Linked DNA regions of Notamacropus eugenii. The main gene of each other region encodes a partner of the protein of the gene in region 2 in a complex. Links are inferred from orthologs where the notes say so. Each region holds a gene or a part of one and is shown on either strand. Other genes may lie near its edges.

Evidence for each region.
Region 1: the proteins of non-homologous end joining factor IFFO1-like (region 2) and XRCC4 are in contact, whole or in part, in a crystal structure (PDB 6ABO), measured with the Homo sapiens proteins. The link is inferred for Notamacropus eugenii from reciprocal best matches to the Homo sapiens genes IFFO1 and XRCC4. Residues at the interface, in NP_001317253.1 of Homo sapiens: Arg469, Glu470, Tyr473, Ile477, Gln479, Ile480, Glu481, Glu483, Leu484, Ala487, Lys488, Asp490, Met491, Arg493, His494, Leu495, Tyr498, Met501, Lys505, Leu508, Asp509, Met512, Cys515, Arg516, Leu518, Ile519, Thr520, Gln521; in NP_001304941.1 of Homo sapiens: Trp155, Val158, Gln159, Phe162, Glu163, Cys165, Val166, Lys169, Glu170, Glu173, Leu176, Tyr177, Phe180, Val183, Leu184, Lys187, Lys188, Lys190, Ile191, Leu194, His195, Lys197, Leu198, Ala201, Ala202, Arg205, Glu212.

The regions. Positions count from the first base shown.
Region 1 is NC_092875.1:460,069,336-460,077,859, forward strand, and holds the start of XRCC4 (DNA repair protein XRCC4), read right to left. Parts: upstream 3,669-8,524; 5' UTR 3,536-3,668; intron 2,948-3,535; coding exon of another isoform or gene 2,945-2,947; exon of another isoform or gene 2,650-2,944; intron 2,427-2,649; exon of another isoform or gene 1,966-2,426; intron 1-1,965. Other genes in the region: TMEM167A (protein kish-A), read left to right, coding at 2,945-2,947.
Region 2 is NC_092874.1:194,837,544-194,845,913, reverse strand, and holds the start of non-homologous end joining factor IFFO1-like, read left to right. Parts: upstream 1-4,398; 5' UTR 4,399-4,426; coding exon 4,427-5,229; intron 5,230-8,370. Other genes in the region: NOP2 (28S rRNA (cytosine(4447)-C(5))-methyltransferase), read left to right, coding at 282-369, 657-797, 1,175-1,314, 1,522-1,611, 1,784-1,906, 2,026-2,254, 3,411-3,736. UniProt on the Homo sapiens protein: Nuclear matrix protein involved in the immobilization of broken DNA ends and the suppression of chromosome translocation during DNA double-strand breaks (DSBs).

The DNA.
Region 1 (8,524 bases), on a different chromosome or scaffold from region 2:
ACCCCCAATTAATGGGCATCCTCTCAATCTCCAATTCTGTGATACCACAAAAAGAGCTGCTATAAATATTTGTACAGATAAGTCCTTCTCCCCCCACACCCCTTTTCTTTAAATCTCTTTGGGATACAGGCTTCATAGTGATATTGCTGGATCAAAGAGAATACACAATTTGATTGCCCTTTGGGCATACTTCCCAATTGCTCTCCAGAACAGGCAGATCAGTTCACAATTCCACCAATGCATTAGTGTCCCGGTTTTCCCTTCAACACTTATCATAATTTTTCTATCATGTTAGTCAGTCCGATATATATGAGATGGTACCTCAGAGCTGTTATGATTTGCATTTCTCTAATTTATAGTGATTTAGAGCATCTTTTTTCATATGACTATAGATAACTGATTTCTTCATCTGAAAAATTCTTGTTCTTATCCTTTGATCATTTATCAGTTGGGGAATGACATGTTTTGACTCAGTTTTTTATACATTGAAGAAATCAGGCCTTTATCAGATACACTTGCTATAAAATTTTTTTTCCATCATTCTGCACTCCTTTTAATTTTGGTTGCACTGATTTTGTTTGTGCAAAAGAAATATTTTTAATCTAATCAAAATTATCCATTTTACATCTCATAATGCTCTCTACCATGTTTGGACATAAATTCTTCCCTTTTTCTTAGAAGTGATAAACTATTCTTTCATCTCCTAATTTGTTTATGGCAACACTCTTTACGTCTATATCATGTACTCATTTTGACCTTATCTTAGTAAAAGATACAAGATGTTGGTGTATCCTTAGTTTCTGCCTTACCACTTTTCAATTTTCCCAGCAGTTTTTTGTCAAATAGTGAGCTCTTGCCCCAAAAGCTTAGTTCCTTGGGTTTATCAAACACTAGATTACTATAGTACTGTGTACCTAATCTGTTCCACTGATCCACCACTCTTATTTCTTAGCCAGTACCAAAATGTTTTGATAATTACCGCTTTATAATATGGTGTGATATCTGGTAGGGCTAGGCCACCTTCCTTTGCATTTTTTTCATTAATTCCCTTGATATTCTTCACCTTTTGTTCTTCCAAATGAATTATTATTTTTTCTAGCTCTATTATTTTTTGGCAGTTTGGTTAACATAGCACTGAACAAGTAATTCTCACTCTCTTCTAAACCCACTGCAATCTGGCTTCCAAATACATCATTCAAGTAAAACTTTTCTCCAGTTGCCAATGATTTCTTAATTGCCAAATCTAATCTTTCCTGTTTTCATCCTTCTTGACCTCTCTACCACATGTGACACTGTTGGTAACTTCCTTCTTTTTCATACTCTCCTAAGTTTTCATACCTTGCTCTCTCCTGTTTCTTCTCCTTCCTTCACTCTTCAATCTCCTTTGCTGGATTTCCGTCCCTTACTTCTACTAAATGTGGGTATCCCTCACATCTCTGTCCTGAGCTCTCTATACAATCTCACTTGTTGATCTTCATCAGCATCCATGGATTCAATTTTCAGCCTTGCAGATAATTCCCAGATCTATATATACAGCCCTCAGTTATCTCCATAGCTCCACTTCCACATTTTGAACTGGATGTGCTAAAGGCGTCTCAAACTCAACGTATCTAAAACTAAGTTATCTTTCCCCCTAAAATCCACATCTTCTGAAATTCCTTATAACTGTTGAGGACACTACCAGCTTCCTAGTCCCTCAAGTTTGCAAGCTCAAAGCCATTCTAGACTTTATCCCTCTCAATCATGTCCCCACCCCACTGCCAAACCCTGTCATTTCTTCTTCTACATTATTTGTCACCCCCTTCTCTCGACTTCCTATTACCCGTAGGATCGAATAAAGTCTTCTGTTTGGCAACCAAAGCAATTCATATGTCGGTTCTTTTCTGCTTTACTTCACTACCGTCCCGGAACTGAATGATCCAGCCATGCTGGCTTTCTTGGGGTTCCTCCCACAGAACACCCTACCTTCCATCTCAGTGTCTCCACCCGAGCGGTCCCCACGCTGGAAATATTCTCCTTTCTCACCTAGATCCCTAGATTGTCCTGCAGCTCAAACGTTCTGCAGGATCTCCATTCCCTGGGGCCATCAGCCCCAAGCCTCTGGGATTTCTCTCCACGCACGCCGCAGAGCTCTTAAATGTAGCTAGTCATGGATACATTGTAGTCATGGATATATTGTTTCTACACGCGCCTTGGAGCTATTTCAGGGCAAGAACCACAGAACTTGGGGGTGGTTTCTACGTATCTCGGGTCTTAGCCACAACGACGGGCCTACAGTAAGTGCTTAAAAAATTGCTTAATTCCTCTGCCCTACGATTCGCCCACACCTGACCGGGATCTCAACCAATTAAATCTCTCCTTAAACTCTCTAATTCCGCCCCCCTCCCCCCGGCCTGGATTCCGAAGCCCGGAGGGAAGAATGAGGCCAGCCCAGGGGAATAAGGGGAAAGGACTCTGCCCAGGCCCGGAGAAGACTGGGGCTGCTGACGCTTTCCGAAGCAGAGGGAGGGGCAGCGAAGAATGGGAAGCCAGCTCGAGAAGGAGCTGGAGGGACTGGGGAAATAAACTGGGGCAGCCCCCGGGAGTCCAAACCCGACGGCGATCAGCAAAGACCAGGCTCGCTGGGACACCCCCGCTTCCGGGCCCTACCTCGTTCAGAGCCTCCACTTCCGGCTTCCTCCAAAAGGCCCGCTCCCGAGGCAGAAAGAGCCGCGGCCAATCAGAAGGGCCCTTCTCCCATGGCGTCACTACCCGAGCGGCCCCTCCCCTCCATTCTCGACCAACCGCGCCGCCGCAGCCTCGCAGCGCGTGAAGCGCTTTCCTACCTCGGACCAATCATCGGGAAGCGTGGGGAACGAGGCCAGACGGAGGGGGCGGGGCCCAACGCCTCTTCCGCCCGTTGCCCCGGAAGGGTGATGTGGCTGGGGGTAGCGGAGGTCTCACTATGGTAAGACCCGGCGCTCGGGGCTGACTTGGTGCGGGCGGTGGGCAGGGGGTGGCCCCGAGGCACGGGGGTGACGGGACCCGGGGCGGGCTCCGGTGCGCAGACGGGGAGACCCGCGAGGGGAGGCAGCGAGGTGCCCCTCCCCGAACCCCCGAACGAAGGGTTTCTGGAAAGGGTAGAAAAGAGAGGGCCGAGAGACGGGGAGGGGGGCGGGGAGGAGAAGGACGAGGAGAAGCCCCCCGCGCCCGGCTACCGGCGTCCCAGAGCGCCGGCGGAGCGCGGGGCCCGGCGCTGCCCAGAGATGCCCCCCGCCCGCGGAGGCCTTTAAAAATAGCCGCTGAGAGCGTCCCCGGCCCGGTGGGAGAGGCCCGATCGTGGCGCGGTTTGTCTTCGGGGCTTTAGGCTCCCGGGTTTTCTCTGCCGGTTTTCCTTTCCCGTCCTCACCCGGGCACCGTCTAGGGAAGACTTTTCAGGCCCCAGCGCGGGCTGAAAGAGCTATTTGTTTGTACCATCCCCCCACAGGCAGTGGTGCACCCCCAAGGTGTCCGTCACTGAAGTGACCTTGCCTGCCTGCCCCCCAAACCTGCTTACGTAAAAGGTGAAGCCTCCTTAGGGGACGCCTCATCTGGAAGTGACGTCAAAATAAATCTTGAACCGATGAAGGCATAACAAGTATTTGAGTGGTGGGAGGATCTCATATGAAGCTTCTTATACGTAGTATTTGTCAGTTAGATTAAACACCAAAAGATTTTGCTGTGTATTTGCCCCATCTCTGACTCCCACTGGATGTGTGACCCCCGGTGTCTCCAAAGGAACTGAAAAATACCGTAAATTACATAGCTGGTACTGCTCTAGATTGGCAGAGGGAGTTTCCTTACTAGAAATTAATTCCCTGTTCAGCCAATGAAATCTTTGTTTGTTTTTTAAAGCCAACATATTTACAAAAGAAGGCTTCAATCCTTGTAACCTGAAAAGTTGTCCTGACTCCAGCCAGTACCGTACCTTGGGTAGAAGTTCAGCATTTCCAGTTTAATAGCTAAATAGTGAGTCCTGACTATTTTTTTCTACCCAGATTTTACATTGCTAGATACACTATTGTAGGTTAAGATTCTCTGTGATGATAAATAAACTTGATCCTCTAACAGATTTAAAGGTAGCTCTGGGAAGTTGTCTAGTGGTTGACTTTTTTTTAAAAAATTGCAATTCTAAACTTGACACAGCTTAAGAAAGAAATAGAATTGTATATGAAGCTTTGAATATCGTTATGAATCACTTGTTTGTTTTTCTTTAATTCAGCATGTTCCAAAGCTGCTTTGCTTGTCGGTGTTTCTCTGAACCTCTTTGCATTTTCTTTCAGTGCTTCTCTTGTGCTCTTGTATTTTTTGACATTGCTATTACCATTCTCATTCTCTCCCCCACGGAGCAAACAAACAAATATCTTGTTATATAACAAGTTAGCATAATCAGGTAAAAAGAAATCCACACATTGACCATCCCTGAATATGCACTTCTAGTCAGTTCTGTGAAGAGATGGGAAATCTGCCTTGTGGAGTCGTATGGTAGATGGGTATTGAATTGAAGAGAGTTAATAAATGCTTCAAAAGCTATTTTGCTTACAGTGGTGTAATGGTCATTGTATAAATTGACCTAGTGCTCACTGTGCTCTGTGTCAGTTCATAATAGCTTTCTCAGGTTTCTCTGAATCCATCCCTTTCATCATTTCTTCAGAACGTGGAATGTTCAGTTACATATAGCATAATTGTTCAACCATTTCACAGTTTACAGGAACTTAGTTTCCATTTTTTGCCACAATGAAGCATTGCTAGGAATATTTTGTATATATTTTGTTTAGTATTAGAGTTCCAGTTTTAGTGGCTTGAGTGATTTTAATCTGCCTTTTAGAATTGTTCAAGCAATTCATAGTCAGCAGTGTGTTAGTTTTCCTATCCTTCCCTGGCTCCTCAACTGTGTCATTTCCCTGTTTTCTCATTATTTGTCAGTCTGATTTTTATGAGGTGGCACCTCAGAATTATTTTAATTTGCTTTTCTCTAATTATTTCGAATATTTTATATAGTTAATTAATAACTTGATTTTATTGTTTTGCCTTTTCATATCCTTTAACAATATGTCAGTTTGGAAATGTATTTTGTTGTTGTATACTAGAATCAATTCTTTGTATATCTTGAATATTACACCTTTGTCAGAGAAATATCTGGCAATTTTTTTGCATTCTTTCCCTCTTAATTTTTGCTGCATTAATTTTGTACAAAGACTTTAATTCTGTGAAATCAGAAATGTCCATTTTATTACATGTGATCCTCTCTGTCCTTCATTGAGTCAAGAACTCTTCTCCTTTTCCATGTTTGTGAATGGAATTTTCTTCCATTTGCCCCAATTTGCTTATGATATGACTTTGTATTTCTAGGTCTTATAACTAATTGGAGTTTAATGTATTGTTTGGTGTAATATATTGTTTTCAACCTAATTTCTGCCAGACTGCTTTCCAATTTTCCCAGCAATTTTTGTCAGATAGTGAATGCATCCTCACTTTAGGAGTTGAAATCTTTGGGTTTATTAAACAGTAAACTATTATGATTGTTTTTGTCTTGTGTTCCTGTCTGTCCCACTGATCAACTTTTGTTGTTTTTAGCCATTACCAAATCGTCTTGATGACCTAGTACAGTTAAGCTTCTTCCTTTCCATTTTTTTTCATTATATCCCTTTAAATTTTAGATCTTTTTTGTTCCAGTCGCGTCAGACCTTCTGTGCCCCAAGTTTCAGGCCTTTTCATCTGAATTCATGCTGTTTTTCTTAGTCATACATCCCACTATCTTTTTGTACAGTCTTAGACTGGATGAAGGAGGTTACCGATGTTTCTTTTTGAATTTTTATGTCATCATTTAGTCTGCTGCCTTTTTTTACATCATTGCTGGAATATATGTGGAAGAGCTGGACTCCTCCTGCAACCTTTCATACTATCTTATCTTGAAGTCCTCTATTAACTCATTTTCTTACAAATATATATATATATACTTTTTTAACTAGGAAACAATTACTCTTTAATTCCACATTCATATGCAAGTAGAAGTTTTGTCTTTTGGCTCTTTTCATAGTGGGTAAAGATTGTACTTCTATTTACATTAGTTTAGTGTCATAATCTGAAAGAATTACGTAAATTATATCTAAATTTGATGTTACTTAAACCAAATAAGGCTGCTTCTCTGCTTGTCAACTTTTAAGATCCATGTGCTTAATAAAAATATGTGATTACAGTTAAAATATAATTTTGCCTTAGTGATTTTTTTTTTTTTTGCTGTCATATAAAAAAATATAGTAGTAAGATCCAGGTAGATAATGGAAACCTCAGTCAAGCTGTTAGTCTTTATTTTTTTTTTCCATTAGCATGGGATTGTCCAAATTAGGTAGGAGTGCATTTGGAGAGGTTCAAATAAGGAGGCTTCCAAATGGGCTCATGTAGTCATTCCTCAAGACTGAATCAGTGTCTAGGCATCTTCTTGAGTTTAACCCAGACACATTCCTTAGGTAACCTAGAGATAATTAATGTTATGAGTTTAGGAAATAGTTCAAAAAAGAGCTTAATTCTAGAAATGAATCAAAAATGGAATACTACATCCTGTGAAGTTGAATTTCTTTTCTGAGAGTCTCAGCTACAAAAGTTTATGTTATAGCAGAGGACACACCCACTTAATAAGAAGACAGAAGTACATTAATGTAGAGGAAAAGAAAGTTTTATGTATTTGGCAGTTCTAATATAAACATAGCCATAGGCTTAAAGGAGCTTAAAACTCTTTAACTAAGCCTTAAGAAGCCACATACAGCTAATGCATTTGCCACAACAATAAAAACTTCACCAGAATTAATAACCTTTGTTGCTTTTGATTAGTGTGATTAAAAAGTCTAAGTAAAAGTATTCAGACCAAAACTAAAAATTGTTAATAATGTTAGAATGTAAGTTCCTGGAGGACAGGGACTTTTGAATTTTGGTTTTGATTTCCCATTGTCTGCCACAGTGTTGAGCACATAAGAGGTTCATAATAACTTACTTAGTGATTAATTGACTGACTAGACCATGTGCCAACATAGCTAATTCCTTCAGGCCACATTTTGAGAAACAGTATGATCCAAAGCCGTGATTCCCAATTTGGGTTGACATTGTGCAATCATTTGATTTTATTTAAAGATCCCCATTTTCTTTCTCTGTTCTAGGGATATAAAGAGGATCCCTGTTCTCAAGGGTTCAGTGACCGTTATATAGCACCTGAAGACTTTTCATAGGTCTTCCTCAGATGAAGAAATAACTGTAATTATTTTCCTCACTTTACAGATGACAGAGCTGAGGTACAGAGAGGTTTATAGGACCATAAATTTAAAAGTGAAGGGGATGACCTAAGGTACCACTAACCCCCTCATTTTATTTTGCGATGAATCTTAAGGCCCAGGGCAGAAAAGGGTCATTTCATAAAGCTCAATGTCATACAGTTAATAAGTATCAGAGGTAGAATTCTTATCCAAGTCTCTCCTTACTCCAAAACTGTATCTTTTTACACTGTACTGTGTGTGTACATATTTTGATTTCCCAGATAATTTGGAGATATCCTGGACTGTTGGAAAAGCAGAGTTAAGAAGCACTGGATTTTACTAGATTTTTTTTTTTAAGAATTTATAACCCTGCCCATCCTTTTACAGACTATTCTTCATAGTCCTTCTATGTATTTCTTTAAAAAAAAAACCAAAACAAAACCCTGAATTATCTCAGCATTTGCAAAAACATCTTTTTTTAATACGCCCTACAAAAGAGATATTTCTCCTCTTCCTATCTTTTTTCCACCTTCACGCTCACTGAGAATCGAGATGTATATAACAGTATATAACTGCCCCTTTAAGTAGCAGCTGTTATAGGTCAGTGCCAGTAAATCTGGAGAATTCATCAGCTATGCCTCTTGATGACCCACATTTTAGCTTCTGACTATTTTTCACATAGAAGTGTTGAATGCAAATCTGAGGTTGGCCCCATCTCTAATAGTTCAACACGTAGCTATAATAAAGACTAACTCTACAGTTACTAAACAAAATATGCAGCGTCAAATGAACTACCACTGACTTTGTAACGCTTTGTCTGTAGCATAAAGTAATGCCAAGGATGCTATTCTCCTGCTCTTACTGTACTAAAACAATAAAATTTGTAGGATTATAGATTTAGAACTGGAAAGAGACCTTAACAAGCAGGCCCTCATTCTTTCTCATTGTAAGCTTAACAGTAATGGCTTTGTCACAGGCCGTTTTTTCTCCCAGTACCTACTATAGTGTGTTACACATGCAGCATGTTGCCTGTGACCTGTCACTAAAACCAATATTAAAGTCATTTACGACTCAATCATGTTTTAATATGTCTGAATTATTGTAAATTAGGAATTAGATTCTGATTTATACAACTTTAAGTCTACAGCCCTTTGACTTTATACTGTGGGTTAATTTGCATCTTGATAGACATTTGAACAAGTTTTTTTCTTTGTTTGGGGTTTGTTTTTTTTAAAGTACTGAAAAAAATCTACTTTCTC
Region 2 (8,370 bases):
TTCTGTATGCATAGCACTGTGTTTGTGTCAACAGATTGCCTCTGGGAAAAAATCACTACCGTCAAAATGTTGAACATCTCTATGTTGGGATGCAGGTTAAGACCAAAGAGACAAAATGAAGGAGATAATAGGTGGAGTGGGTTTTCTGATGTGAATATGAAGTATGCTGCTAGTGTCTCATTGTTAGAGCCACATTTCCACCCCCACGGCTACTTTGGTGGCCTTTCCCCTGCCCTGGAAGTTGCAGTGTCTGCAACCCTGACGTGATCTTTCCTCTTCAGGCCTTGATCAATCGAGGGGTGAATCTGGATCCCTTGGGTAAATGGTCAAAAACTGGACTGGTGGTGTATGACTCTTCTGTGCCCATTGGTGAGTAGCTTCTCCTGTTTCCCTGACCTTTTCCTACCCTTTCCTGCTTCTCTGTTTGTACAAGCATTTCCCTATTTCTAGAAAGGTACAAGGGACTTCTCTTCTCCCTCAGTGCCCTGGTCTTCTTCTAACTTGCATCGCAGATTTTTGTGTACATCTCTCACTCTTACACAAGGTTGTCAGCTCCTGTCTTTTCACGTGTAACCCCCGTGTTGTTTACATAGGTGCTTTATGTTTGTAGAATCCCACTGATGCAACCCTTCTCTACCTCTTTCTTGTCTTCTCAGGGGCTACTCCAGAGTACTTGGCGGGGCACTACATCCTTCAAGGCGCTTCCAGTATGCTGCCTGTCATTGCCTTGGCACCACAGGAACATGAGCGTATTTTGGATATGTGTTGTGCCCCTGGTGGCAAGACTAGCTATATAGGTAGGGAAGTGGCAGAACAGGGACATTTTCATTTAGCCTAGGAAGTGCACTTTGATTCAGTATTCTGTCTTTGGGGGTAAGGTGAGCCCATGGGTGCCTGGGACTAGTTTGCCAGCCAGAAAATATTTCAGTAAAAGTGAAAATCCAACCCACAGTGTTAATATTTATTTTACTATAGGGGTGGTAAGTGGGAACACAGTCATCTAAGATGTTGAGTTGAGAAATATTGGATGACTCTGTGTGGCGTTAAACAGCGAGATGCTAGGCTTTAACTTAGTGAGTTACTGCGTAGAGCTAGTAACAAGGTGAGCAGGGCAGGTAGTTGGTGTAGGGAGAGGGGTACAAACTGAAGGGTGATGGCCTTTCACCTACTACAGCCCAACTGATGAAGAACACAGGAGTGATCCTTGCCAATGATGCTAATGCTGATCGCCTCAAGAGTGTTGTCGGCAATCTGCACCGGTTGGGGGTCACCAACACAATCATCAGCCATGATGATGGACGTCATTTCCCTAAGGTTAGACTTAGAGCTGCCATTGTTTCTTGTCTTATATTTCCCAATCTCTTCACTACCACCACCACCCTCTCCCACTAGCACCTTTCCAGGCATCTATATTTAACTTTGGTAGTAAATACATCTTGTGTCTATAGGAGCTCAGGGTGTGAAGCCATTTTGAATAGGGAGAAGTTCCTTTGACCACCTCTTCATCTTCTTTCTGCCCAGGTAGTAGGAGGCTTTGATCGGGTGCTGCTTGATGCCCCGTGTAGTGGCACTGGTATCATCTCTAAGGACCCATCTGTGAAGACCAACAAGGTGATGAGGAGGAGGAAAAAGGGGCAGGGTAGACATTTTGGAGGGAGGAGGGTATCGGCCTGGAAGGGGAGGAATCTGGCATGGGAAATGTCATCTTAGGCATGGTAACTGATTTAGGGAGGATAGTCTGTTTAAACACTATAACTTTTTCTTCCTCCTATTTTCTGAAAAGGATGAGAAAGACATCAAGAGATGTGCCCATATCCAAAAGGAATTGCTCCTGAGTGCTATTGATTCTGTTAATGCTACTTCCAAAACTGGAGGCTACATTGTCTACTGCACTTGCTCCATTACGGTAAGGCTTCTGTTGGAGTGTGGGCAGAAGAGGAGGGGGATACTTATTTCTTGAGACTCTTTCAGCTAAGACTTTCTCCTATTCTTTCCTCTTATCCCTGATGTCATCTTACCCCTCAGGTAGAAGAAAATGAATTGGTGGTAGAGTATGCCCTGAAGAAGAGGAATGTGCGGCTGGTGCCAACGGGGCTGGACTTTGGCCAGGAGGGCTTTACCCATTTCAGAGAACATCGATTCCATCCCACCCTCCGATCTACCCGACGTTTCTATCCCCATACACACAATATGGATGGCTTCTTCATTGCCAAGTTCAAGAAGTTTTCCAATGCTATACCTCAGTCTAAGAAAAGTAAGAAATCTCTGTCTCTCATTTGTTCAAGTTCTCTCTGCCCACAGAGTTATGACCCATTTCCCTGTGTCTCTTACTAGGAAACCTCCCCTGTATGCATTCTACTCCCTGTCCTTTTTGATTGAAAAAATTCTTCTTGGTGTGCTTTATTCTTAATAATTTCTATAATAGTGCTTTAGGTGATAAAAGGTAGGGGTTTAAAGGTATCACCATTTTAGTCAGGAAACTAAGGCTCAAGAATGGTTAAATGTTTTCCTCACATTCATACAGCTAGAAAAGATTCAAAACTAGACCAGAAGATGTGTGGAGTTAAACAGTGAGATGCTAGGCTTTACCTTGGTGGATTACTGAGTAGAACTAGCATAGTCTGATCATCTAGAGCAGACTCCTAGATTAGTGCCTTTCAAGGTAGGAATCTCAAACAGAATGGAATTTTACTTCTCCCCCTTCCCAAACCAGATGGCTGTACTTGTCTTGTTTACATTGAATCACAAGAGTGAGATTTGTGTTTCCCTTCTCTTCTGGGTTGTCTTTTTTTTTTTTTTTACTGGATAAATGGGCACTTGTGGCTGACAGCTGTCTGCAGGAGGCAGGCCCATCTATTTTTGAGAATATCTAAATTCTGAAGAGATAAGGGCAAGACCTGAGATTTACATTGGTCAAGGGGAACTGTGGAATAAGGAAACTCCCTCTTCCATCTCTGCCTCTCGTGGTCCAAGAGAGTTGCCTAGTGAACTTTCTACGCCTTAAATCATGTTGTCTCTGATTTATTCATGATACTTTGAAATCATTATTTTCTTGAACATTTTGACAAGGAGGCCCAGCTCTCAGGAGGAAAGATAGTATCTTCAAAAGCCAGGTCATTGGTTTGAATACTGAGAAATGTCCCAGGAGGTCCAAAAACTTATGGGAGTTTATTTTTTTTTTTTTAGATCATTTTAGTCCCCTTTGCAAAAAGTCATTGCAGTACAGAAGGAAACATAAAGGAGGGTACAGATAGTACTATTTATGGTGGCTTAAGGGAATAGGTCTAAAATGTCATGCTTCAGTTACCTGCGTTGTTGACTCCTTTGTTGTACTTCGCTTCAAACTGGCCTATGTTGGTTTTTCCTACTTTATCAATCTAATGTCCTGTAACCATTTCACTCCAATCCAGGTGATGCAGCAGCTGACCCCCCAGACTCCAGACCCACTGACAGGCCTTCTGCAGCTAAAGCCAAGGTGGTGCCCCAACCTAAAATCAGTCCTAAGCTTGTCAAGAAGACCAAGCAAGCTGGAAAGACAAAGGTGAAGCTAGAGACCAAGAAGGGAAAAATGCATCGGGAAGCTGGGGAGGCAGAGGTGAAGCAACAGCAGCCGCCCCCTAAGAAGACTGTTTTTCAGAATGGGAAGCCTGTCCACAGGGGTCCTCGGCCACCTACTGCAAGGACTCCTAGTTCCAGCGGGCCCCCACCTAGGAAGAAGCAGAAATCTCAGTCCTGACACAGTAGCCACTGTGGGGTCTTGAACTACCAGACTGGTGTGACTGTGAGCTTCTTTGAGGAGCTTGGCCTCACCTCTGTCTGACGTAGACACAGTCCAATTAACCTTCCCCTGCCCCTTCCCCTTGTATACACATAAATGTACCCATCCCCACCTCTGGCTGCAGTGTGAGGCTCCTCATTGGTTTGGTTTGTGCGTTGTCCTGCCCGCGCCTTCGGGGGTGGGGTGGTGGGAGTGGCCGAGGTTGGGTGGTCACTTCACCTCCGGGGTGGTGGCGGGAGCTTTGTAAAGGAAAGCCCCCTCCTTAGGGACGGGGCGCTGCCCACGCCAGTGTCTGCGCTAGTCTGGCCGGTCTCCAGCTTTGCTCCTGGGCCTGGGCTTTCCCAGAGGCTGCCTCGGAGCGGCGCGGGGCTACCACAGACGGGCGCCGGGTGGCTTGGGCCGTGCGGGCCCCTGCACGCCAGCCTTGGCAAAAAAGCTCCCTCCCCACTAGCGGTCTGAGTCTGCTGCCCGCACTCGGGCCGGTCTCCTCCTCCGGTCGGCCTGACGCTCACTTGGGTTGCCCCGCCCGCCCTTTCATTGGCTCGCTCCGTGGCCCCGCCCCTATCCTGTCTTCTCATTGGCTCCCTGTCCGGGCCGGCTCCCCGCCCCGCGCCGGTCTCCATCTCGAGGCGGAGAAGCGGTGCGGCCATGAACCCGTTATTCGGCCCCAATCTTTTCCTCCTCCAGCAAGAGCAGCAGGGTCTGGCTGGGCCGCTCGGGGGACCCTCGCTGGGGGGCGGCGACTACCTGGGCGGGGGAGGGGAGCTGCCTGCGGGCCCTGCGGCGGCGGCGGCCCCCCCGGGCATCCCCCCGTGGGAGCCGCTGGCACTGGCCGGCCCGGGCCCGGCGCCCTCGCCGCCGCCCGCCGCCATGGCCCTCCGCAACGACCTGGGCTCTAACATCAACGTGCTCAAGACGCTCAACCTGCGCTTCCGCTGCTTCCTGGCCAAGGTGCACGAGCTGGAGCGGCGCAACCGGCTGCTGGAGAAGCAGCTGCAGCAGGCGCTGGAAGATGGGCCGCAGGGCCGGCGGGGTCCGGGGCGCCGCGACCAGGCCGTGCAGACCGGCTTCATCAGCCCCATCCGGCCCCCGGGGCTGCCCCTCGGGGCCTGGCCCGCCTCGCGAGGCCCGCTGGCGCCCACAGCTTCGGGTCTCTCGTCGTCTCCCGCCAGCGCGCTCGCCCCAGCCCCGGCGTCTGTCCCGTCCCACTCCGCGGCCACATCCACCCCCTACTCCTCGTCGGCCCGCTTCATGCCCGGCACCATCTGGTCCTTCTCGCACGCCCGCAGGCTCGGGCCGGGACTGGAGCCCACCTTGGTGCAGGGGCCTGGCCTGTCGTGGGTGCACCCCGACGGCGTGGGGGTGCAGATCGACACCATCACACCCGAGATCCGGGCCCTCTATAACGTACTGGCCAAGGTGAAGCGGGAGCGGGACGAGTACAAGCGGAGGTGAGGCTGGGGGAGGTGGGGCCGGGCCGACGGGTGGGCCCTGGGCTCGGGGCACCGCGGCATTGGCATTGAGGGGTTCCAACCAGAGGACTTTAGAGAAAACAATGAAAGTTTCGGGGTGAGGGTGGCGTGAGGGGAGTCCAGGGAGATGTGGACCAGGGAGAGGCAGCCAGGTCTCCCTCCCCCCAAAAGAAGAGATCTTTCCAGAATCCGGAGGACTCAGGGAGCAGCCCCAATTTCAGGAAGGTCGTACAGGGAAGAAAGTCATGTCAGGAGGGAAGTTATGTGTGAGAAGCTTAATTTTTTTCCTTGTCTTTACTTCCCCTCCCCTTCATGTTGCAGTGTTTAGAGGGTTACCCTAACTGGGATCTTAACTGGGTGTGACTAGGGAGATGAGCCAGGGAAATGTTTGTGTGGGGTTTTCTTTTTCCCCTTATCAGTCTTTTTGGTTATTCTTGTGAGCAACTTGGGGAAAAGTACTTTGTGTTCAGGGGACAAAAGTTAATGGCATAAGAGATCTGCCTTATCTTGCAGGCTATAAATGTTATCATTTGGGAAGGTGGATGTGGGGGGATGTGGATGTATTTCCCAAAGAGGGGTCTGAGGATACTGGGACACCTGCCAGCTGGGTTCCCATGTGGTAGGTCTACACGGCCAGAGGAAACTTTTAAACAAGGATCAACCAAGGATCAACCAAGGTGGGGTAAGTAATAGGGATTATAAGGAATATTCCCTCCTGAAAGAACAGATTTGTTATGGGGGAAATAGAGGCTTTGCCTGGAGAGAGACAAACATTGAAGCTGAAGAAAGGGCCAAGTTAGAAAAAGTTGGTAAGATTCCATGTGGACACACCCTATGAGCATAGAGAAATGAAGTCAGGGGTGGGAGTGTCAGATGAGGGTCATACAAGTTGGGAAGATGCCCATAGAACCCCATAACCTGATTCTCTCAAAAGAACAAAACCAGAAACCAGCAGAGGAGAAGGAAAGTAAATATGCTTAGTGCAGTGTATGGCTAAGAAGTGATGATAGTTTCAGCATTATATATCACTGGGGAAGAAAGAGATGTTGGTTGGGGGAAATTTTGTTATTTTAGGTTTCCACAGTGTTTTTACCACTAGTCGTTCCTCACATGCAGGTCAAGAATGGCCACTGTGTTGTTGTTTTTGACTTATCTCAAAGTTTAAGGTTTACAAAGAGCATTTCTGTATGGCAGGGCTTGTTGATGATTGGTGAAGTGATAGGTATGGATATCACTGAATATGTTCATGAATTTCTATTTGGGATGTGTATGACCTGAAGAAGAGCTAAGTCATAAATAGGATTTTCAGTTGGCCTGGAAAGGATCAGCTTTTTCATTGAACCCTCTTCTGCCGTTCCCCACCCTTTTGCAGATCTAGTTCTGACCTCCTATAAGGGAGGCCAGCATAGGGGAAAACCTATGCTGGATAAGTGTCCTTAGGAACTTATTCACTTTGAGATCCTAGTAAAATATAATTTAAGATTAGTATAATTGCAGTAAGTTATGGAAGAGGAGAAAAATTTTGGATGGGTCCATCCATAACCACAGGGACTATTGGTATTCTCTGGAAATGTGTGTGGGTTTGGCTTTTTTTTGAGGGTGGGAGAAGGTCCAGAGTGGTTTGTCCTTGGTCCAGATGTCTAAGGCAGCAAAGAGTTATTATCCCTTGGGGAAAGCTTCGCTCATAACACTGCAGTACCCTGACGTGCCCAGCATTGTTTGATATTTGACGTACATTCTTTTGTCCTAAACCTTCTGCCGTTTTTTGTCCTCTTTATATGAGACCTCAGAATGTTTCTCTAATTCAGGTCCCAGTCTGGGAGGCAGAGGATGCATACACGTTGAACTAATAGTTGAGGCCTCCTGGGTTCTATTTTCAGCTTTAGAATTGTGTGACCTGAGAAGGAGCTTTTCCTCTCTCTGAGCCTTAGTTGGGTTTTTTTTCCATTTTAAAATGGAGAAAATAATCCCTGCTCTTTTTTCAGCTCAGGGATCAGTAAAGCTCTCTCTGAACAGTGCTTTACACAGACCTCTTTAGAGGACAGGTGTTTAAAAAAAAAGAAGACAGGTGTTTAGAGGGAAATAGAAACTCATCACAGAGCCTAATTCTAAAACTCTACATAGGAACCCACATTGTAAATGAGAACGGGGTACACTGAAATTAATCAAAACAGTACAGGCCTTTAAAGTGCCTCTTGAGGAACAGTTGAACAAACTCCTGACACTGTGTGGCCACAGACAAGTCACTTTACCTTTCAGAATGTTAGTTTCCTTATCTAGTAACAGGGTACCAATAATACCAATAGTGTCTACTTCACGGGGTTGTGAAAGACTTGCCAAACCTTAAAGTTGCTCTACAAATGTAAGCTGCTTTTTTGATTCTTATCTCCAGACATCTCCAAAAGATGCTTCTACTACTGGTTGCTCAGGAGGGGAGCAATGTTCTGTGGTAGCAGTAATAATAGCACTTTAAGATTTGCATTGCACTTGAAAAATATTCTTTTCTTAGATGTATCAGCTTTGTGAACCAGCTGCTATCATTATTCCCTGTTTTTACAGATAAAGAAATAGAGGCCCAAAGACATTGAATGGCTTGTCCAGTGTTACAACTAGTCAAGAGTCTAATGTGGAATTTGGATTCTGGCCTTCTGATGCTGTCTAGCACTCAGTATGCCTTGGTACTTCTCTAAGAGTAAAGGGTAGAGTTATTCTGTGTGACTGCTCCAGAGATAAAACCAGTGGGTAGAAATTGTAGGGACCTAAATATGGGCACACATAAAGTAGAACTTTCTAATAATGTGTTCCTCATCATATAAAGGGTTCCTCTCTGTCTGGATTGTTGTAGAGGGGATTCATGAAGGGAATGGAAGCTTGGATTAAAAGTCCAAGGCCCTTTCCAGCTCCAAGAATTGTTTCAGTAACTATGATCATGGGACCACACCCAGAGTGTACCCACCTTAATGAATTCTTCAATATGGCAAATAGCGCTTAGTCAGATATCAGGATATTTATGCTCAGACTCCTTTGCCATGTTAAGGACTTCCTCTAACTCTGTAATTAGGTTCCTCAATTTAGTTTCCTTCCAAATTTGGTAGGATTCATACCAAAATAATGCTTTCT